2 linked regions of the Saccharomyces cerevisiae S288C genome follow. Each later gene encodes a partner of the first gene's protein in a complex. Each region holds a gene or a part of one and is shown in the gene's direction. Other genes may lie near its edges. The genes, in order: SMY1 and MYO2.

What was found.
Region 2: the proteins of SMY1 (region 1) and MYO2 are in contact, whole or in part, in a crystal structure (PDB 6IXQ), measured with the Saccharomyces cerevisiae proteins. Residues at the interface, in NP_012844.1 of Saccharomyces cerevisiae: Phe633 (codon at 3,472), Lys634 (codon at 3,475), Lys635 (codon at 3,478), Gly636 (codon at 3,481), Leu637 (codon at 3,484), Asn638 (codon at 3,487), Leu639 (codon at 3,490), His640 (codon at 3,493), Ser641 (codon at 3,496), Ile642 (codon at 3,499), Lys643 (codon at 3,502), Val644 (codon at 3,505), Thr645 (codon at 3,508); in NP_014971.1 of Saccharomyces cerevisiae: Ile1207 (codon at 12,381), Ser1210 (codon at 12,390), Glu1211 (codon at 12,393), Trp1213 (codon at 12,399), Arg1214 (codon at 12,402), Phe1261 (codon at 12,543), Phe1264 (codon at 12,552), Ala1265 (codon at 12,555), Ser1268 (codon at 12,564), Ile1269 (codon at 12,567), Phe1275 (codon at 12,585), Gly1278 (codon at 12,594), Met1279 (codon at 12,597), Thr1280 (codon at 12,600), Glu1283 (codon at 12,609), Tyr1287 (codon at 12,621), Phe1542 (codon at 13,386), Gln1544 (codon at 13,392), Val1545 (codon at 13,395), Glu1546 (codon at 13,398), Ala1547 (codon at 13,401), Val1565 (codon at 13,455), Ala1566 (codon at 13,458), Val1569 (codon at 13,467), Val1570 (codon at 13,470).

Annotation. Positions count from the first base shown.
Region 1 is NC_001143.9:285,028-294,917, forward strand, and holds SMY1 (Smy1p), read left to right. Parts: upstream 1-1,575; coding exon 1,576-3,546; downstream 3,547-9,890. Other genes in the region: VMA5 (H(+)-transporting V1 sector ATPase subunit C), read left to right, coding at 3-1,181; DHR2 (RNA helicase), read left to right, coding at 3,818-6,025; PSG1 (Psg1p), read left to right, coding at 6,426-7,604; AAN1 (Aan1p), read right to left, coding at 7,929-9,281; MUD2 (Mud2p), read right to left, coding at 9,583-9,890. UniProt on the Saccharomyces cerevisiae protein: Possible microtubule-based motor that can interact or substitute with myosin 2 (MYO2).
Region 2 is NC_001147.6:916,959-930,945, forward strand, and holds MYO2 (myosin 2), read left to right. Parts: upstream 1-8,762; coding exon 8,763-13,487; downstream 13,488-13,987. Other genes in the region: dolichyl-phosphate-mannose-protein mannosyltransferase PMT3, read left to right, coding at 1-1,333; LDB19 (Ldb19p), read right to left, coding at 1,648-4,104; PRO2 (glutamate-5-semialdehyde dehydrogenase), read right to left, coding at 4,577-5,947; FRT1 (Frt1p), read right to left, coding at 6,274-8,082; SNAP receptor SNC2, read right to left, coding at 13,776-13,987. UniProt on the Saccharomyces cerevisiae protein: Myosin heavy chain that is required for the cell cycle-regulated transport of various organelles and proteins for their segregation.

The DNA of each region.
Region 1 (9,890 bases):
AAATGGCTACTGCGTTATATACTGCAAACGATTTCATATTAATCTCGTTGCCTCAAAATGCTCAACCTGTTACCGCCCCTGGCTCCAAAACTGATTCATGGTTCAATGAGACCTTAATCGGGGGTAGGGCATTTGTTTCTGATTTCAAAATTCCCGAATTCAAAATTGGCTCTTTAGACACATTGATAGTTGAATCGGAAGAACTGTCTAAAGTAGATAACCAAATTGGGGCTTCTATTGGCAAAATCATTGAAATTCTTCAAGGCCTCAACGAGACCAGCACCAATGCTTACAGGACTTTACCTATCAATAATATGCCAGTTCCTGAATACTTGGAAAATTTTCAATGGCAAACCAGAAAGTTCAAGTTAGATAAGTCTATCAAAGATTTGATAACATTGATTTCTAATGAATCTTCTCAATTAGACGCCGACGTCAGAGCTACTTATGCAAATTACAACAGCGCTAAAACTAACTTGGCTGCTGCTGAGAGAAAGAAGACGGGTGACCTTTCTGTCAGATCCTTGCATGATATTGTCAAGCCCGAAGACTTCGTTCTTAATTCTGAACATTTAACTACTGTTCTAGTAGCAGTTCCCAAAAGTTTAAAATCCGATTTCGAAAAATCGTACGAAACTTTATCCAAGAACGTTGTACCAGCATCTGCCAGCGTGATTGCAGAGGATGCTGAGTATGTTTTGTTCAATGTTCATTTGTTCAAGAAAAACGTTCAAGAATTCACAACAGCTGCTAGAGAGAAGAAATTCATTCCTCGTGAATTTAACTACTCGGAGGAATTAATTGACCAGTTGAAAAAAGAGCATGACTCTGCTGCCAGTTTAGAACAATCTTTGCGCGTCCAGTTGGTAAGATTGGCCAAGACAGCTTATGTCGATGTTTTTATAAATTGGTTCCACATCAAGGCCTTGAGAGTTTACGTGGAATCTGTTTTGCGTTACGGGTTGCCACCTCACTTTAACATCAAGATTATAGCTGTCCCACCAAAGAATCTCTCTAAATGCAAGTCTGAATTAATTGATGCTTTTGGATTTCTTGGTGGCAATGCCTTCATGAAGGATAAAAAAGGGAAAATTAACAAGCAAGATACTTCTCTTCACCAATATGCTTCTCTTGTCGACACAGAGTATGAACCATTTGTGATGTATATAATCAATTTATAATCGATTTATAATACTAACTTAGATTAATATATATTTCTGTTTTTTTTTTAGAATTTTCAACTTTTTTATTCATAGAGATAATACACTGTGATTGTGAATGTTTGAATAGTAATGGAACATAATCCGATAAAATATGCTTTTGATGAACGATTAGACATTTTTCAATTTTGTCGTTGAGTTCCAATCCTTCCTTATTTATGGTTAACAAGGAAAGAGGTGGAAGTTAAAAAAATGGAAATTAAAAAAAAAAAAAAATCAAAAAAAGAAAAATAAAAATAGAAAAATTGGCACGGAAATCTACAGGATTTAGCACTAGTAGGGGGTTTATTAAGCACTACAGGTCGACTTTAAACCAGAAAAAATTATCATTCAGGGTAGGTGCAAACTTGTTAAAATGCACTGGAATATAATTTCGAAAGAGCAAAGTAGCTCTTCTGTATCGTTACCAACTCTAGACAGCAGTGAACCCTGTCACATCGAAGTTATCCTCAGGGCGATACCCGAAAAAGGATTACAAAACAATGAGTCGACCTTCAAAATAGACCCATATGAAAATACTGTGCTATTTCGCACAAACAATCCGTTACATGAGACAACCAAGGAGACCCATTCAACATTTCAATTCGATAAGGTATTCGATGCTAACGCCACTCAAGAAGATGTTCAGAAATTTCTGGTGCATCCAATAATAAATGATGTTTTGAATGGTTATAACGGTACTGTAATAACATATGGACCAAGTTTCAGCGGAAAGTCCTATTCCCTTATTGGATCAAAAGAAAGCGAAGGAATTCTACCGAACATATGCAAGACCTTGTTTGATACGCTAGAAAAAAATGAAGAAACAAAGGGAGATAGTTTTAGCGTAAGTGTTTTGGCATTCGAAATATATATGGAGAAAACGTATGACTTATTGGTACCTTTACCTGAAAGAAAACCATTAAAGCTTCACCGTTCTTCAAGCAAAATGGACTTAGAAATCAAAGATATTTGTCCGGCACATGTCGGATCGTATGAAGACTTAAGAAGCTACATTCAGGCAGTCCAAAACGTCGGCAATAGGATGGCATGTGGCGACAAGACAGAGAGATCAAGATCACACCTAGTTTTTCAATTACACGTAGAACAAAGGAATAGAAAAGATGATATATTAAAAAATAGTTCTTTATATCTGGTTGATTTACACGGGGCAGAGAAGTTCGATAAAAGAACTGAAAGTACGCTATCACAAGATGCGTTAAAAAAATTAAACCAATCTATTGAGGCGTTGAAAAACACTGTGCGGTCCTTGTCAATGAAAGAGCGTGATTCAGCCTACAGCGCAAAAGGATCACATAGTTCTGCTTACCGTGAATCGCAATTAACTGAAGTGTTAAAAGATTCCCTTGGGGGAAATAGGAAAACAAAGGTGATATTGACATGTTTCTTAAGTAATGTTCCAACTACCCTATCAACACTAGAATTTGGTGACAGTATTAGACAGATCAATAACAAGGTTACAGATAACACCACAGGTTTAAATCTGAAAAAAAAAATGGATCTATTTATTCAGGACATGAAAATTAAGGATGATAATTATGTTGCCCAAATTAATATACTAAAGGCTGAAATAGACTCTTTAAAAAGCCTTCACAATAAATCTCTTCCCGAAGACGACGAGAAAAAAATGTTAGAAAATACAAAGAAAGAAAATATCAAACTAAAGCTTCAATTAGACAGTATTACCCAATTATTGAGTAGTTCTACCAATGAAGATCCTAACAATCGTATTGACGAAGAAGTTTCTGAAATATTAACGAAAAGATGCGAACAGATTGCTCAGCTTGAGTTATCTTTTGATCGACAGATGAATTCCAATTCTAAGTTGCAGCAAGAGTTAGAATACAAAAAGTCAAAAGAGGAAGCCTTAGAGTCTATGAACGTTAGGCTACTAGAACAAATTCAGCTTCAGGAAAGAGAGATTCAAGAGCTTTTAACTACTAACGCCATCTTAAAGGGTGAACTAGAAACTCACACTAAACTTACTGAAACACGCAGTGAAAGGATAAAATCTTTGGAAAGTTCTGTCAAAGAGCTTTCTCTTAATAAATCTGCAATCCCATCTCCTAGAAGAGGGTCTATGAGCTCGTCATCAGGAAATACTATGTTGCATATCGAGGAGGGTTCTGAAATATCAAATAGCCCTTGGTCAGCCAATACTTCCTCAAAACCTTTAGTATGGGGCGCGAGAAAGGTTTCTTCTAGCAGTATAGCAACCACTGGATCACAGGAGTCTTTTGTGGCAAGACCGTTCAAGAAGGGATTAAACCTCCATTCGATAAAAGTCACTTCGAGTACTCCAAAAAGTCCCTCTTCTGGAAGCTGACTATAATTAAGTTCGATAATTGTACGATACAACTGTGTAGTATCTTTGTAATTATAATCATGATGATAACGCTAATAATTTGTACGTATAATGCTGACTGAAAGATGTACTTTTCTTCTACCGTTTTTCTTCGGCGGCTATTCGTTTACAATGATTTGGAAAAATGAGAAAAATTGAAAATAAAAAATTCTGCTCGATGAGATGAGATGAGGTTATGATATATATGTAAGAATTCCTCAAGAAGAGGTTGCAAGAGTCTGCAGACATTATCATGGCAGCAAATAGCAATAGTAGAGTTGCATCAAACCATACTTCTAAAAAACAAAAGGTTAGGAGGAATATACATCCATTCACGAATAACACTCGGATTAAAAGAGCTAGTAAAATCGTAAAGTTTAATGATTCAGGCGAGGGCGACCATGTTTCAGACCAACGTTCGAACAAGGAAAATGTCCTTACTTATAAATCTTTGAAAAGTCGGGCAAGCGATTTACTCAAAATGAGAGAAACACTTCCCGTTTACCAACACAAGCGAGAAATAATGTCATATATTGAAAGCAATCCCGTTACCGTCCTTATTGGTGAAACAGGTTCTGGTAAATCAACACAAATTCCGCAATTCGTATTAGAAAAATTATATGATACGAAGAAGCATGGGTCGATTGCTGTAACTCAACCCCGTCGTGTTGCGGCCATCAATTTGGCTACACGTGTTGCTCAAGAACATGGTTGCAAACTGGGTGAACAAGTAGGTTATTCTGTCAGATTTGACAATACGACTACTACAAGAACAAGACTTAAGTATCTGACTGACGGTATGTTACTTAGAGAACTTATGATGAATAGTGACCTTAGAGAATACAGCGTCATCGTTATCGATGAAGCGCATGAAAGAACTGTGCTTACAGATTTGATATTGGGGTTCTTAAAATCCTTGATACAAGGGCCAAGACCTGATTTGAGAATAATTGTTATGTCTGCAACATTGCAAGCCGAAAAATTTAGTGAGTTCTTCAATAATGCCCCAATCTTATTTGTAGAAGGAAGAAAATTTGATGTCAAACAATACTACTTGAAGGCGCCAACAGATGATATAGTAGACGCTGTCATCAGGTGTTGTATACAAATAAACCAAGGTGAAGAACTGGGAGATATCTTATGTTTTTTACCGGGCCAAGAAGAGATTGACAAAGCAGTGACTATAATGGAGAAAATTGCAAAGTATGTTTCAGATGAGGCCCCAGTACCATTAATAGTTCCTTATCCTTTATATGCAGCTCTTCCCGCGGTCCAACAGTCCTTGGTCTTCGCTCCGATAAAGGGTTTCAAGAGAAAAGTCGTCTTTAGTACCAATATTGCAGAAACATCTGTTACCATATCCGGTGTTAAATTTGTCGTTGATTCTGGTCTTCGAAAAGTCAAAGTTTGGAGACATCAGCTGGGATTAGCCACTCTACTTACCGTACCCATTTCTCAGGCAAGTGCGATGCAGAGAAGTGGTCGTGCTGGTAGAGAAAGTGAAGGAAAGAGTTTCAGGCTTTATTGTGAGTCTGATTATGTGAAATTACCTAAACAAAGTGAACCTGAAATAGCCAGAAGTGACGTCACATCTCCTGTGTTAATGTTGAAGAGATATGGTGTTGATGACCTGCTAAACTGGACCTGGTTTGAGAACCCTGGAAAGGAAGCTATAGTAATGGGGCTTCAGGAACTTTATGAATTGGGTGCTCTTGACACTCGTGGAAAGATAACTAAACGGGGTCAACAAATGGCTCTGTTACCGCTACAACCGCATTTAAGTAGTGTCTTAATTAAAGCCAGTGAAGTCGGATGTTTGAGTCAGGTCATTGATATCGTCTCTTGCCTTAGTGTGGAAAATTTACTGTTGAATCCGTCACCAGAAGAAAGAGATGAGGTGAACGAGCGTCGTTTGTCCTTATGCAACGCTGGTAAAAGGTATGGTGACCTTATCATGCTGAAAGAGCTTTTTGATATCTATTTCTACGAACTAGGGAAAAGTCAAGATGCAAGCTCTGAAAGAAATGATTGGTGTAAAGGATTGTGTATTTCGATACGTGGGTTTAAAAATGTAATTCGTGTCAGAGACCAGTTAAGAGTTTATTGTAAGCGTTTGTTTTCTTCAATCAGTGAAGAGGATGAAGAATCCAAAAAGATTGGTGAAGATGGCGAGCTAATTTCGAAAATTTTAAAGTGTTTCTTAACTGGGTTTATCAAGAATACAGCTATAGGGATGCCAGACAGGTCTTATAGAACTGTTTCCACTGGAGAGCCGATAAGCATTCATCCATCATCTATGCTATTTATGAATAAAAGCTGCCCCGGTATAATGTACACGGAGTATGTCTTTACTACGAAGGGATATGCCAGAAATGTTAGTAGGATTGAACTTTCATGGTTACAAGAAGTTGTCACTAATGCAGCCGCTGTAGCAAAGCAAAAAGTTTCTGATTCAAAATAAGTCACCTACTCTTAGCGCATTTTTATTGTATATAAAGGCATTTAATGTAATTTATAGAGCATTATAAATCGTAACAACTACTGCAGTATGAGTTTCATGGATTCATTTCTCAATATCTTATGAATATACACAGGTATATATGTATATTCATGTTAAACGCCTTTCGAATTGTTCGTTGGCTTTTTTTGTGAAATTATCTCGGGAAAAGGGCGAAATTATATTATTTTGCCGTTGACATTTTGAAAAGGAATAAAAGATCATGAAAAAAATAAGAAAGGCAATTCGACGCATTTCTCTCAGCAAGCTATTCTTTACTTTTGAAGAACAAAATATTTTAGCAAAAAGGTTAAGACAATATAGTCGGAAGCAGTTCTGCGGGATCTGAAGGAATTGCGGAATAATGAGATTTCACGATAGTATACTTATCTTCTTTTCTTTGGCATCGCTTTATCAACATGTTCATGGTGCAAGACAAGTCGTTCGTCCAAAGGAGAAAATGACTACTTCAGAAGAAGTTAAACCTTGGTTACGTACGGTTTATGGAAGTCAAAAAGAATTAGTCACTCCTACGGTCATTGCCGGTGTCACTTTTTCTGAAAAACCAGAAGAAACACCAAATCCATTGAAACCTTGGGTATCTTTAGAGCATGATGGTAGGCCAAAAACCATTAAACCAGAAATCAACAAAGGTCGAACCAAGAAGGGAAGACCTGATTACTCAACTTACTTCAAAACGGTAAGTTCCCACACATATTCTTATGAAGAATTGAAGGCTCACAATATGGGCCCTAATGAAGTTTTTGTAGAAGAAGAGTATATTGATGAAGATGACACCTACGTCTCCCTGAATCCTATTGTCAGATGTACTCCTAATCTTTACTTCAATAAAGGTCTAGCAAAGGATATCCGCAGTGAGCCATTTTGTACCCCTTATGAGAATTCTAGATGGAAGGTTGACAAGACTTACTTCGTTACTTGGTATACAAGATTTTTTACAGATGAGAATTCCGGTAAAGTTGCTGATAAGGTTCGTGTTCATTTGTCCTATGTTAAAGAAAACCCCGTAGAGAAGGGCAATTATAAAAGAGATATCCCTGCAACTTTTTTCTCTTCCGAATGGATTGATAATGACAACGGTCTAATGCCGGTTGAGGTCAGAGATGAATGGCTGCAGGACCAATTTGATCGTAGGATCGTTGTATCAGTTCAGCCAATATACATATCAGATGAAGATTTCGATCCACTACAATACGGTATTTTATTATACATCACTAAGGGTTCAAAAGTGTTTAAGCCTACTAAGGAGCAACTGGCTTTAGACGATGCAGGTATAACAAATGATCAGTGGTATTATGTTGCATTATCTATCCCTACTGTCGTGGTGGTATTTTTCGTCTTCATGTACTTTTTCTTATATGTCAACGGGAAAAACAGAGATTTCACAGATGTTACTAGAAAAGCTTTAAACAAGAAACGCCGTGTTTTGGGTAAGTTCTCGGAGATGAAGAAATTCAAAAACATGAAAAATCACAAGTACACCGAATTGCCATCTTATAAGAAAACCAGTAAACAAAATTAGATTCCCTTCGAAGTATGCATTCACCCTTCCTCGAGAGGGCTGTTTTTATCTTCCGTCACACTAATAGAAAACCACTCTATCCAGTTTTTTTTGTTACTTAACTTATCTTAACTCGATATTGTATAAATACTGAAGTCCATATACTTCTTTTTTTCTCCTTTGGATAGTAAATACGGTAAATTAAAATTAGTGTAAACTGAACAATATTAACATATATAAATCATCTGTACGACAATTTGATACCAAATAAATAGAGAATGCATCAGCATCCTCCAGGGTTCAAAAGAAAACGCTGGATCTTGCTTCTTTTCCTTTGATTTCTCCTTATATCCATTTCTGTCTTGCAGCAACTTCACATATTTTTTCCAGTGTAATGACCCTTGGATCAGGCTTAAAATGACGCTCAACCACATTATCATCTCCTTCCACATTCCTGCTAAGTAAGCTTTCTTCGTCGCCCTCGCTATTGTCCACATTATCTTCATCTTCATCATCATCTCCGCCGACGTCTTCAATGTAGTAGAAAAAGGGTTCCAACACCAACATAATTTTCCAGAAGTTGTTCGTGCCACAATTAGCAAACAAGACATCTACAAGGGCAGGTAGGTATTCCAATTCAATGTACTCCTCTGCGCAACAAACAAATTCATCTAATTCGTAATCTTGCTCATCAGCAGATAATGTAGAATACATTTCTGATAACAACGTTAATTCTTTGCTAATTGTTTTTGGAATATCTTCTCGAGCTTGCCATAACAGCTTTTGCGCTCTTTCCAGTCTTTCTTGGCTAACGGCATCATCCTTGCTCTCTTTTTCGCCTTTATCACCTTGGACATTTTCGGAGTCTTGTAGAGAAGGCAAGAATCCGTTCTTTTCGCTTTTGACCATAAGCTCATTGTATTCGTTATAGAGGGAGATAATTTTCATCATAGGCTTGTATAATTGCTGACAGACTTTCATTTCCGAGTAAGGTACAATGACTTTTTCCAAATAGTGATTGATCAGTCCTTCCATGAAGTTTGCCCAAATTGACGAAAATACATAATCCTCGTCGTAAGTCGATTCCGTAAAATCTTGGTTGATGTTATGCTGTATGATTTGCTCTGTAAGAGTTGGGAAAAGGTTTTTATGGCTTTTGACCATTTCATCTCTCAAAGCAGTAGATCCAGCGCTATCTGCTCCTTTAGTAGAATTTTCCAAACTATTATCTGTTGAAGACGCCTCTGAGTTCTTTTCACCATCTGTCTTATCTAGCCAGTATTCCGGACCACCCTTTTCAGACAATGTCACCAATAAAAGGAAGAGTTTTACTTTAACCCACGGGTTTAGCGAGTTTACATAGGCGTCCGTAATTTTGCTAACATCGATATTTATTTTTCTATGGATGCATTTGATAAATTTTTCAATGTAATGTGATTTTTTCAATCCGTATTTTTCATTCAGATATCCAACCGAAGTGATTACGTCGTAATTTGTATTTTCCATGTTCGTATGCTTCAAAAAGTTGAATGTTAACTTTCGTCTATTTCCATAATGTCTTTCTCTTTTCTCCTCACCTTTCTTCTTTCTTCTAATCTTTTTTTCTTTTGAAGCACCCAATTTAAGACATCTTTTACAGGTACAGTCCTTTAACGATGGCTCGTTGGCCGCTTGCTTGGGCAATAAATCTTTAGCCATCTTCTTTGGCGCGCTATACTAGGCTTGATTTATAATGTTAGTTATTCCAAAAATGTGAAGGAAATTGATCAAGGCAAGCTCTAATGATGATTATTGACCCATGCAACAAAAAAAGTTTGAATTCTCTTAATTTTCCAGATCGCAAGTTAGTAGTCAATCTGCTAACTTTCGTTATATTTCAAAAAAGTAATTGTACAAAAAAAGTCACCAAAAACGAGGACTTTTTTCACTGCGTTAAAGATTAGATCTACATAATGAATACTCAATTCTTTACTTAATTTCGCTCTACAAAATAGACCATTTAGGAAAGTTGGGTTGCTTCCATCATGTCAAAGTCGTCCTCATCTATATAAGTACACAGAACAGTGCGATCGTTGAATTGCGTACCCGGCAATTCTTCCATTGCGTGTTTTGCTGCCTCCAAGGTCTTGAACTTGATATAAATATTACCGGCTCCGGAAGCCAAGTTTTCAAAATTAAGTCTGTAATCGACGCCGGGTTGGCATATTTTAATCGTATCTGCTCCCGCGATACTATACTTTAATGTTTCTTTAATTTCTGTGATAAAGGTTTCATCTTTCAAATCCAATGGATCAAGACAATTTAAGA
Region 2 (13,987 bases), on another chromosome or scaffold:
CGGCGACTCTACCATGCCATCATTATTTCAAGCCAGTCTGAACGGTACAAAAGTTGGTAAGGGACCACGTGATGTTGCTTTGGGTTCTTCTATTATTTCCATCAAAAATCAAGCGTTGGGAGGCGCTTTATTACATTCTCATGTCCAACCATTCCCAGAAGGTTCTGAGCAACAGCAAGTAACTGTCTATGGTTACAGTGATGCTAACAATGAATGGTTTTTTCAAAGAATCAGAGGAGTAGAGCCTTGGACTGATGCTGAGAACAAGACAATTGAGTTTGTAAAGGGTGGCGAAATGTATAGATTAATGCATCGCCTAACAGGCAAGAATCTACACACCCATGAAGTCCCAGCGCCTATATCGAAAAGTGAATATGAAGTTTCTGCTTACGGAGATGTAGACTTAGGTGACTACAAAGATAACTGGATTATAGAAATCGTGGAACAAGTAGGGGAAGAAGATCCAACACTACTACACCCGCTATCCACATCTTTCCGTATTAAAAATTCTATACTGGGTTGCTATTTAGCTCAGTCAGGTAAACATTTACCAGAATGGGGTTTCAGGCAAGGTGAAGTTGTCTGTTTAAAACACGCCTCCAAAAGGGATAAGAGAACCTGGTGGAATATCGAAACACATGAAAATGAAAGATTGCCACAGGGAGAAGATTTCGTATATCCGAAGACTTCATTCTTCAGGAATTTCATGCAGTTAAATTCAGCAATGATGGCAACCAATAATGCTTTGGTACCAAACCCTGAAAAGTTTGATGGTATAGCTTCATCTGCCTGGCAATGGCCAACCTTGAACGTCGGGGTAAGATTATGCGAATGGAGTGAAAAATCTATAAAGTACTTCTTATTAGGATCTCCTGCGTCCGTCTGGCCCTCAAGCATCGCAGTTTGCGCACTGATAATACACGTTATATTCTTAACTCTGAAATGGCAGAGACAATGTGTTATCCTATCCGATCCAGTCGAACGTGACGTGTTCGTTATGGCAGCCTTTTATCCATTGCTTGCTTGGCTTTTACATTATATGCCATTCGTAGTGATGTCAAGAGTTGTATACGCTCACCACTATCTGCCCACCCTTTATTTTGCCTTAATGATCTTGTCATACTACTTCGATATGATTACCAAACGTTGGGCTACAAGAAACACTGGAAAATTTCTAAGGCTAGGAGCTTATATTGTATACGGATCAATCGTGATCGCTGGATTTTTTTATTTCTCTCCTTTTAGTTTTGGGATGGATGGTCCAGTAGATGATTACGCGTACTTGGCATGGCTACCTACGTGGCAGATTGTTGAAGATATACGTAACACATAGATATATAGAATGATCAAAAACTTTTCTTCACCACACAAAAAATGTTAATTGATGCGCGAAATATCTTTTTCGACTTATGCCTTCTTCTTTATCATAACAAAGCTATGTACCTACGACGAAATGAAGATATTAATCCAGTCCAGCCTTAAGAAAATACGAGAAAAAAAATGCTCAAGTGTTAAACAATGCCTGTATGTAGTTATCTGTGAAATGCATCAAATCATGGTCAGGGTTTGCTTATTGATCAGATTTGTAGTTTTCAGGTATCTAAGATAAAAATATATGGTAAATACCTTTAACGAATATTATAAAATCTACTGGGTTATTCTATTGGAATCTAGAAAATCGGAAAAGTTTTGTATTCTGATATCTCTTGTGCTATGTGGTGTCAACACATGTCCACGAAAAGGTACACTACCCTGGACACTAACAACACTTTCCAGTGGTGGTGACTGTACTGTGGTAAGGGATCTTTGCGAAGAGGAAGCAGGCTGGTAGTGATGTGCGGTTGGTGGTATCGTTAATTTATTTTGTGTGATCGTTACTTCCTGTACGTTAGGACCAGGTTCGAGCCCTTGGCTCTCATAGTTCCCAATATCTTCATCGCTGCCGCCCACAAAATCATCCTCTGATCTAACAGGAGTACTCATTGTTGAATAAAGTTTATTTTTGATTCCATTATTTATAGAGAGCTCGTAACATGGTGGCGAGAGCAACTCGACATCTTGGTAAATGGGAGGAACTTCTTCGTCCCAGGAGATTCCAAGTCCAGATCTTTCAGTGACTGTTAATCTGAATTGCATTCTTAAAACACGTGCTGCACCAGTGGGAACACTCACTATATTAGAGTTACTAGCACCGTTAGATGCCTTCTCCTTATTAGTACTATGGTTGGACTTATTACTATTCACCGGTGTTATATCTTCAGGCCCCATGCGCCGTACTTTCGGTGTATTTCTATTTGCAAAAATTGGAGATAATTCAGCTAAGCGTTGATCAGGATTATGAACATTCATCGTATTGTTATTAGTTTCTTTCTTGTTTTTGGAGTTTGGTTTCCGTATAGGTTGCCCATTGGCATATTGCAATGTTTCTTCTGCAACAACTATTTCCACTGCCAAGATGTGGCTTACATACAAACCTAAATTTGGATCCTGTATATCGCAAGCCACATTGATGCTGGGCTTCTTATTGCCCGTGGAAGGAGTTTGTAGTGTCGATGCATGCATTACCGGATTAGAGACGCCTGAATTAAGTCCCATACAATCTATTTCTGTAACTAGCTCAATCTTTCCATTATTGTCAAAATCGGTTTTCCATCCACTCTTCATTTCTCCCTTAGATATTATCCGAACCTCTTCCGTAAATAAACTACTGTTGTTTTTTAGCTCTTGTTGAAGTTGTTGTTGTCTTGCGCGTTGTTGCTGCATTAGTAACTCCTGACGCAAAGCGTCGTCACTGGGATGGATGAATTCGCTACCGGGTTGGTCTTCCTCATCTTCATTAACAGGATTTTCATCATCAAGTCCAACATTACCAGTTGACGCTGGACCCGAAGAATTAGGTGCTTGTTCACGACCGGGCTCGCCTGGAAGCCTTTGCGACGGCATATTTTCTAAAGAGTTTACTGCAACCCGGATTTGTGGGCCTAGTTCACCATAACGCTTAATATGACTGCGTGGCTTTTTACTTTTTTCTGACTCTTTTATTTTAACCTGCTCTTCTAACTGCCTCAATTCATGCTTGTGCACTGGACAAGCATGTGCTTTAACTCTTGTAGTTTCTTCAATTCTCCAACTCAATTTACGCATTCGCCATCTCCTATCCCCCGAAGAAACACCGTCTAATTTCATCTCCAAAGGAAAAGTAGATTTAGGATATACAACATTAGGAAGAACAGCAGCAGCAGTTAACTCTGTAGGAGGAAATACTCTTAGAGAATTCTTATCAGGCCCGCGCGGTATACTTCGAGTCACGGCGATGGGCATCGCTAGTTGCAACAACCGCTTCTTAGAAGAGCTTCCTTCTTTCCTGGGAGTAGAATGACCGGAAGAAAAGGAATTTCTATGAGGATCTATATACGTCACAACAGCGATAAGTTCGTATTTGACCTGGGTTTCAGCCGTAGCACCTAGCGATGAAGAACATGGGACAGACCCCGGTATAAGATAGGAAAATGGGTAAGAGTGGCTTCCAACAGAAAGATCCTGGGTATTACTCTGAATTTCCCAGCTTTTCATGTTTGTAATCTTTGTTTTACAGTTCATACAGGTTTGCATTGAGGAAATATTAGGCACAAAGGGTTTATGGAAATGGATCTTCTGTACCAAACTTAGTGTTACCGACGTAATGGTGATCTTGGTATAACCAGCCATTATTCTTAAATTAGCAGGCGTGGGAGAATGCGATATGGATGTAGAAGATGTTGAAGGAGAGATATTTGACGTCGACGCTGACAAGCTGGACAATCTAGATGAAAGTGCAGAACCAAATGTACTCTTTCTTTTTAGGCTTTTAGAAGTAGTCGACACATTAGATTCTGTATTCTTTAAAGATTTATCTTCAGCACTACTGTAGGGATCGACAACCGTCACAGTAAAAAGTCCACTTAGCACAGCACCTGAGGATTCCATAGCAGACCCATAAAGAACACATGGCGGTGATTCTACATCAATAGAAAGGGTTAGTGGAAGACTTTGTCCTTTTTTGTTGCTATTACTGTAGCCGTTATGATTGGACTGATGAGTAGATGTAAGACGTGAAAATGCCATGGTAAAACGTATTGTTTAGTGAAATGTATACTAAGTAGGAGTAAAAATCAGCAATTTCTGGTGTTGAAATGTGAACAACAGCGTTCTCCTCCGAAAAAGCAAGCTATAACGTTGCTCAACTTTTGATTCCGAAATCAGAAGCTTAAATAAGGAAAACTGAAAGCTAATTGGATGAAGCACACAAACTTAATCAACCTTATTATTCAAAGTATTCGGAGCCCTAGTAAAAACTGCCTATGATATGTATGAGTCGTGCTTTTCCGTCTGGTTTAATAAGTGTTCGAGTCAGCTCAAATCGCATTTTTGTCTTGAAGCTTCCGCCAAAAGAAAAAAAAAGTCGTTAATAGCGATACAAGTAAGCAATTAACTATCACACCATAGAATGAGTTGACAAGAGTACTTATTTGATGGCTTTACTGAACTATGTATACACGTCCTTCATACATGGAACTTAGCTTTATCCTAAAAATTTTTATAATGTCACAGTCTTTATATCTAAATCCTTGTGAACAAAAGCTTTGTTACCACCAGCACCAAGGTAGTCACTAGCAACCTGGCCGTCACCTCTTATTTGGTATTGATAACTCACCAGACCGTCCAAGCCAACTGGACCACGGGCGTGAATCTTAGAGGTAGAAATACCCACTTCAGCACCAAAACCGTACCTGAAACCATCGGCAAATCTAGTTGATGCATTCCAGTAAACACCAGAGGAGTCGACACCCTTCATAAATTTTTCAGCGTTTGCTTTATTTTCCGTTACAATAGCGTCGGTATGTCTCGAAGAGTGTGTATTTATATGTTGAATGGCCGATTCTGTAGATGTAACAAACTTGGCAGCCAAATCCAAGGATAAAAATTCCTTATCAAAATCTTGCTCCTCATCAGCATCAACGGTTTTGCATTGAATTGCTTCTGTCAATTTCCCTAACTCATTCAGTTTATCAAAATACGCAGTTTTCAAATCTTTTGTAGCGTGGATAGTCACTCCGCCTTCCAAAGTTAAGTTTTCCAGAACTTCCCACCACTTAGAGAATTTTGGGTTAATCAACAACGTTTCCATAGCGTTGCAACCAGCTGGGTAGTTAGTCTTTGCATCCAAACTAATTCTTTTTGCCTTAATCAAATCTGCGTCTTCATCCAAGTAAATTGAGCAGATACCATCCGCATGACCCAACACGGGAATTTTTGTAGTGTCCTTGATTTTTCTGACTAAGGCATTGGAACCACGAGGAACAACTAAGTCGATGTACTCATCTTGATCCAACAAGTCGGAAACATCCTGTCTGGTTTCGATCAATTGCACAGAGCCCACAGGAACACCAGTCTCACTTTGGAATTGTGCAATGGTGTCGTTAACGATCTTTGCCATTTCTCTGAACGTGTTCACAGACTCTTTACCACCCTTCAAAATTGCAGCATTACCAGACTTGATACTCAATGCGGTAATATTGGCAATAACTTCTGGACGGGATTCAAAGATAACTAACAAAACGCCGACTGGAGCGGTTACTTGGTACAACGTCAAGCCATCATCTAATTCCCTGGCCATTTTAACCTTGCCAACAGGGTCTTCTAGTTCGGCTACATCCTTAATACCTTGTAACATAACTTCAAATTTGTCCCCTTTAAATAGGTCGAGACGTTTCAATAAAGAATCCGCTAGGCCAGTCTCTTTGGCAACAGCTAAATCGATTTTATTCGCTTCTTCAATGGCATGCGCATTAGCCTTCAGGGCATCGTGAATTTTGTATAAAATATCTGATCTGCCCTCGTTTGAGATGGTTTTCAAAATATTCCCTGCTTTACGGGCATTTTTGGCTATTTGTTGTGAACTGGACATCTTTATATTGGTTGCCTGTGCTCCTTTTTGTTCTTACTCTTTTTACCAATACGCTTTTACTTTTTCTCTTCTTTTCTTGAAGCTTTTTGAAAAACGTCTGTCGACTTTTTTCATTTTTTGACTCATTGACCCAACGCCACAAATGAACAAAGAAATTTGGCCACTGCATCGCCTTTCCTGCCCCATTGATTCAAATGTCCATGCGCGTTGATTGATGTGTGATATATATATATATATATATGTATATAGATGTATATTATTATGTTCAGAGGTGATTTTATCTTTGTACGCGTACCATTTTTGTAAAGTGACCTTGTTTTGACTTTTTAACGAGTAAAAAAACGAGTTAACAAATTCTTGACGTAAACGATAAAGCCGCCCATCAAAAGAAATGCAATAATGTCAATGATGAAATACCTATACAGGTAGATGGATTTCGTGTTGTTCTTCGATTTATTTAACACGTTTTTCAGCTCTATCAAACTATCCATTTCCCTTAGAGAGGACTTTTGTTTATTTAATCTCTCTTGGCAAACCTCCATTCTCCTTTCCAATCCTTGTAATTGCGCTACACTTTCTTCGACTGATATCTTTAATTCATTAATAAACGCCTTATTGTCATCCTCGTCAAAGTCTGATTTCAACTTGACCAAGAATTGATTAATCACCGTGGTTCGCAAGGTGGTCATTTCGTCTAATAAAAGGGTTAACTCTCCTGATAGAAGATCATACTTTTGGATAGTTTTTTGAACGTTGTTTTCATTCTTGATTATTGTATCGTTTAAATTTCTTCTCATCTCATTCTCGATCTTCACTAGAAGTGTCGAAATATGATTTTGATAATAATTCAATTCATCAATGTTATCATTCAAATTTGAGTTGCTCTTCGAAATAGAGTTTGAGCTAGAATCAGGAGTGGCTGCGGAGCCATTATTATTGTTCACCTTCAGTACACTCTTGAACCTAGTGGAAGAATCCGCTGACTTCTGCCTATTCAGTAAATACTTAAATCCCAAGGTATCGGTGCCAGGTGCAGTGGAAGAGCCTGATGAATTCCTTGGTTTCCTCTGGTTAGTCAAATATCCTAAAGAGGGATATACACCGTTTAAACTTCTTCTATCCACATCTTCTGAATCTGATGAGGTGGATGACGTGGACGAAAAGGCTGATGACGACAAAAATGCTGGTACATTAGAACGGGAATACAGAAATGACGAAGAATCGTTGACAGCAGAACCGTCCAAATCATGATAAAACAAAGATGTGCTGGGGGAGGAGTTTACGGAAATTTGTGATTGAGAATGCATATTCCCTAATTTAATGCCGCCAGCGGTGGATGAGGGCTCAAACACTACCGACTCCCTCAACGTATCAAATGGGTCTGAATTTCCCAAAGAAGGCTGTAAAAATTGGTTAACCAATCGTTTCCTCTCATAATCAAAAGAACCAGCGGATGATCTACGTTGCGAAGAGGAGGAACCCTGTATTTGATTGAAAGCTAGCCCAGTATGACAGCTTTGGAAAACGGACATCGAACCACGACGTCCTTTACTAAGGCAAGACAATCTGGCCCTATTAGAGTTGAAGTCGGTTTTCGGCGACACTCTGAATGGATCATCCAAACTGGATGCCCCACTATATGATCTACTGTGTCGACCTACTCTGTTATCGATGTCATCTTCAAACAAAAAATCGCTAAACTTCCCGGTTTTGGTCGATCCCAGGACAGGTAAGCTAGTCATTTCCAATGAACGTTGTCGTACCCCATGTGCCCTATTCTTTGTCACATATAAATGTCTCCTATCATGCAGCGCAGGCTGTTCCTCCTTTTCTTTCTCCCTTTCCTTTTGTAACAACGATCCCAAGTTTACTTCAGTGCTTGGTCTTGGGACCACCGGATTATCATTCACTGCTATGACAGGTAATCTAGAAGATGATTTCGAAAAGTGTGCAACATTTGTTTTAGCTTGTAGAGGTTCCGGCTGCGGCTGCGGCTGTAGACCGGATTCTTTTATCTTCACTGCGTCGCCACTGGAAGCCCTTCTTCCCTTACAAAAGCCTCTTGGGAATGAAGGAGGTAACAGGGTACAGTTCCTCGATCCGGGATTCTCCATCCGGTCAATTAGCAAGTTCATTTTCACTTAATGTATCAACTATAACTTAAACCAAAAAAAAAAAAAAATTTAGATATGGGAAGGTCTTTTCCTCCACAAATAGGGTGAACTATCCGACCCAGATCAATAAATAAATAGGCTCGAAGACGCCTCAGAACTCCGGTCACTGGTTTGTCTTGTTGATATACGATGTGCCAAGCGCCGTTTCTCGATGCTTATCTGGTTTAGTTTACGCTGTTAAAACCAAAACCCCAACAGATTTTCGACCCTAACGTATGTAGGGCTAAAATAGATATTGAGTAGGTTACAATTAATTATTGGCAATTGCACCTAGTGACACATTTACGAAAACGTAGGGCAAAAACTATTACCCGACCCAGGGCTATTTTGTGATTTTTTCCTTTTTTTTGTTTATGATCGCGCTTCTCGAAAAGCCAAATATCAGAAATCCCAAACACGCCTTCATTTGATACGATTCGTAGCCTGCGTTTCAGAGATCTATCAACTTTGCAAGGCCAATCAGAGAACAAAAAAGTCTCGCAAAGTCATTTCACTTTTCTCGCTTGAAATTATTCGTTCGATTTCTGGCTGCTTGCTTGTTTTTTGTTTTCTAAGGTACTATTCGACACCATTCCATTGGACAGCGATACTTATACCATTGTACATATAGGACATAAAAACAGCAGATATTACAGCGTATAATGTCTTTTGAAGTGGGTACACGATGCTGGTATCCCCATAAAGAATTGGGCTGGATTGGGGCGGAAGTAATCAAAAATGAGTTCAACGACGGCAAGTACCACCTGGAGTTACAATTGGAAGACGATGAAATCGTGTCCGTGGACACAAAAGACTTGAATAACGATAAGGACCAATCTCTACCGCTTCTTAGAAACCCTCCCATTTTGGAAGCAACGGAAGATTTGACCTCTTTATCTTACTTGAATGAGCCAGCTGTTTTACATGCCATCAAACAGCGCTATTCTCAATTGAATATCTACACATACTCGGGTATTGTTCTGATTGCTACAAACCCTTTTGATCGTGTCGACCAGCTTTATACACAAGACATGATCCAAGCATATGCGGGAAAGCGCAGAGGTGAACTGGAACCTCACTTGTTTGCCATTGCCGAAGAAGCGTATAGGTTGATGAAAAATGACAAACAAAATCAAACCATTGTGGTAAGTGGTGAATCTGGTGCTGGAAAAACGGTTTCTGCCAAGTATATTATGCGTTATTTTGCTTCTGTAGAAGAGGAAAATTCCGCTACTGTACAACATCAAGTGGAAATGTCGGAAACAGAACAAAAGATTCTAGCTACAAACCCTATCATGGAAGCATTTGGTAATGCTAAGACTACCAGAAATGACAATTCTTCCAGATTTGGTAAGTATCTAGAAATTTTATTCGATAAGGACACATCTATTATTGGAGCAAGGATCCGCACATACTTGTTGGAACGGTCCAGATTAGTTTACCAGCCGCCAATTGAGAGAAACTACCACATATTTTATCAATTAATGGCTGGATTACCAGCTCAAACCAAGGAGGAATTGCATCTTACCGATGCCTCAGATTACTTCTACATGAACCAAGGCGGTGACACCAAGATCAACGGTATTGATGATGCCAAAGAATACAAAATTACAGTAGATGCATTGACATTAGTCGGAATCACCAAGGAAACTCAACACCAAATATTTAAGATCTTGGCCGCACTTCTGCATATCGGTAACATAGAAATTAAAAAAACTAGAAATGATGCATCACTATCAGCTGATGAGCCAAACCTGAAACTGGCGTGCGAATTGCTGGGAATTGATGCCTACAACTTTGCCAAATGGGTCACCAAAAAGCAGATCATTACAAGGTCAGAGAAAATTGTTTCGAATCTAAATTATAGTCAAGCTCTGGTTGCCAAAGATTCCGTGGCTAAGTTTATTTATTCCGCCCTTTTCGATTGGCTTGTGGAAAATATCAACACCGTGTTATGCAACCCGGCTGTGAACGACCAAATTAGCTCATTTATTGGTGTTCTGGATATTTATGGGTTTGAACATTTTGAAAAAAATTCATTTGAACAATTTTGTATTAACTATGCCAACGAAAAACTACAACAAGAGTTCAACCAACATGTTTTCAAATTAGAGCAAGAAGAATACGTTAAAGAAGAAATTGAATGGTCTTTTATAGAGTTTAATGATAATCAACCTTGTATTGATCTGATTGAAAACAAGTTGGGTATTTTATCACTGCTTGACGAAGAAAGTAGGTTACCTGCTGGTTCCGACGAATCTTGGACCCAAAAACTTTATCAAACTTTGGATAAATCTCCTACGAACAAAGTATTTTCTAAACCAAGATTCGGGCAAACTAAATTTATCGTGAGCCATTATGCTCTAGATGTCGCTTATGATGTGGAAGGATTTATTGAAAAAAATAGAGACACCGTATCTGACGGACATTTGGAAGTGTTGAAGGCTTCTACCAACGAGACACTAATAAATATCTTAGAGGGATTAGAAAAAGCTGCCAAAAAACTGGAAGAAGCGAAAAAGCTTGAATTAGAGCAGGCTGGCAGTAAAAAGCCAGGTCCGATAAGAACGGTTAACAGGAAACCCACTTTAGGTTCCATGTTTAAGCAATCTTTGATTGAACTAATGAATACCATCAACTCAACTAATGTTCATTATATTCGTTGTATAAAGCCTAATGCAGATAAAGAAGCTTGGCAATTTGATAATTTGATGGTGTTGTCTCAACTCAGAGCCTGTGGTGTTTTGGAAACTATTAGAATATCTTGTGCTGGGTTTCCTTCTAGGTGGACTTTTGAAGAATTTGTATTAAGATATTACATCTTGATACCACATGAGCAGTGGGACCTAATCTTCAAAAAAAAGGAAACTACAGAAGAAGATATCATATCAGTGGTTAAAATGATCCTAGATGCTACTGTAAAGGACAAATCCAAGTACCAGATTGGTAATACAAAAATTTTCTTCAAAGCAGGTATGCTTGCATATCTGGAAAAACTTAGAAGCAATAAGATGCATAATTCAATTGTTATGATCCAGAAGAAAATTAGAGCTAAATATTACCGTAAGCAGTATTTGCAAATATCTCAGGCCATCAAGTATTTGCAGAACAACATCAAAGGTTTCATCATTCGTCAACGCGTTAATGATGAAATGAAAGTTAACTGTGCAACTTTATTACAGGCCGCTTACAGGGGTCATTCCATCCGTGCCAATGTGTTCAGCGTATTGAGAACAATTACAAATTTGCAAAAGAAAATTAGAAAGGAACTAAAACAAAGACAACTGAAACAAGAACATGAATATAATGCTGCGGTAACTATTCAAAGTAAAGTTAGGACCTTTGAGCCGAGATCGAGATTTTTACGCACTAAAAAAGACACTGTTGTTGTCCAATCTTTGATCAGAAGAAGAGCTGCTCAAAGGAAATTGAAACAATTGAAGGCAGACGCTAAATCAGTTAATCATCTGAAAGAAGTGAGCTATAAATTAGAGAATAAAGTGATTGAACTGACGCAGAATCTAGCATCCAAGGTCAAAGAAAATAAAGAAATGACAGAAAGAATTAAAGAACTACAGGTTCAAGTGGAAGAAAGTGCCAAGTTACAAGAGACATTAGAAAATATGAAAAAAGAGCACTTAATAGATATTGATAATCAGAAATCTAAGGATATGGAATTACAAAAAACTATTGAGAACAATTTGCAATCCACTGAACAAACTCTAAAGGACGCTCAATTAGAGTTGGAGGACATGGTTAAACAACATGATGAATTGAAAGAAGAATCTAAAAAGCAACTTGAAGAATTAGAGCAAACAAAGAAAACATTGGTTGAATACCAGACATTAAACGGAGACTTGCAAAACGAAGTTAAATCTTTAAAGGAAGAAATTGCTAGGTTACAAACTGCCATGTCGCTGGGCACCGTTACTACTAGTGTACTACCTCAAACACCATTAAAGGATGTAATGGGAGGCGGTGCTTCAAATTTCAACAATATGATGCTTGAGAATTCCGACTTATCTCCTAATGATTTGAATCTAAAGTCTAGATCTACTCCATCGTCCGGAAACAACCACATTGATTCATTGAGTGTCGATCGCGAAAATGGTGTCAATGCTACACAAATCAATGAAGAGTTATACAGGTTATTGGAGGACACTGAAATTTTGAATCAAGAAATCACGGAAGGCCTGTTAAAGGGATTCGAAGTACCGGATGCTGGTGTAGCTATTCAACTAAGTAAAAGAGACGTTGTTTATCCGGCTAGAATACTGATTATAGTTTTAAGTGAAATGTGGAGATTTGGGCTGACCAAGCAAAGTGAAAGCTTTCTTGCCCAAGTATTGACTACAATTCAAAAAGTTGTCACTCAATTGAAGGGTAACGATTTAATTCCAAGCGGTGTATTCTGGTTAGCAAACGTTAGAGAGTTATACTCATTTGTGGTGTTTGCTCTAAACTCTATTTTAACCGAAGAAACGTTCAAAAACGGCATGACCGATGAGGAGTATAAGGAGTATGTTTCATTGGTCACAGAACTAAAGGATGATTTCGAAGCTCTAAGTTATAATATATATAACATTTGGCTGAAGAAATTGCAGAAGCAATTGCAAAAAAAGGCCATCAATGCTGTGGTCATCTCCGAATCATTACCAGGTTTCAGCGCGGGAGAAACCAGCGGGTTTTTGAACAAAATTTTTGCTAACACTGAAGAATATACAATGGACGACATTTTGACCTTTTTCAACAGCATATACTGGTGCATGAAATCTTTTCATATTGAGAATGAAGTGTTCCATGCTGTAGTCACAACCTTATTGAATTATGTGGATGCAATTTGTTTTAACGAATTAATCATGAAACGTAATTTCTTGTCGTGGAAAAGGGGTCTTCAATTGAACTACAACGTTACTAGATTAGAGGAATGGTGCAAGACGCATGGCTTGACAGATGGTACTGAGTGCTTACAACATTTGATTCAGACCGCTAAGCTACTGCAAGTCCGTAAGTATACTATCGAAGACATTGATATCTTAAGAGGAATTTGTTATTCGCTAACACCTGCACAATTGCAAAAATTGATTTCACAATACCAGGTGGCAGACTATGAGTCTCCAATTCCACAGGAAATCTTAAGATACGTTGCTGATATAGTTAAGAAAGAAGCTGCGTTATCTTCATCAGGTAATGATTCTAAGGGTCACGAGCATAGCAGCAGTATATTTATCACTCCAGAAACAGGTCCATTTACTGACCCATTCAGTTTGATAAAGACAAGAAAATTTGACCAAGTAGAAGCCTATATACCAGCGTGGTTATCCTTGCCCTCAACTAAGAGAATAGTTGACCTTGTTGCCCAACAAGTCGTTCAAGACGGCCACTAAAACTGATGGCGCGAGAAACAAAATTGTACATGAATGCTAAAAAAAGAAATGACAAAAAAAGAGAAAAAAAAAAATGAAACTACATAGTTAATTAATAATAGAAGTATTTGTCAATAGTATGATAATGAAATCGATATTATGGAAGATATTAACCGCGCGCCGTATTAGTGTACACTATATTAAACTACATTTTGCTTCTTACTGAATTTATAAATTATGATTATATTATTATTACTATTATGACTACTGTATATATTTTTTAGAATTAGCATCGGGAACCGATGAGCGTTAGCTGAAATGGACGACGATAGGAACGATAATTACCACTAGTAAAATAATAACAACTAAGAATAAACACATTCTCATTTTTAGATCTTTCCACCACATTTGCTTTCTGACCCTGTTGGCGCCTCTCTTGAATCCTTGTGCGGAGATAGCCAAGTTATCAGCTTTGTCCTCAATGGATGTTAGCCTTTCACCACGTTCAGCAACCTTGTTGA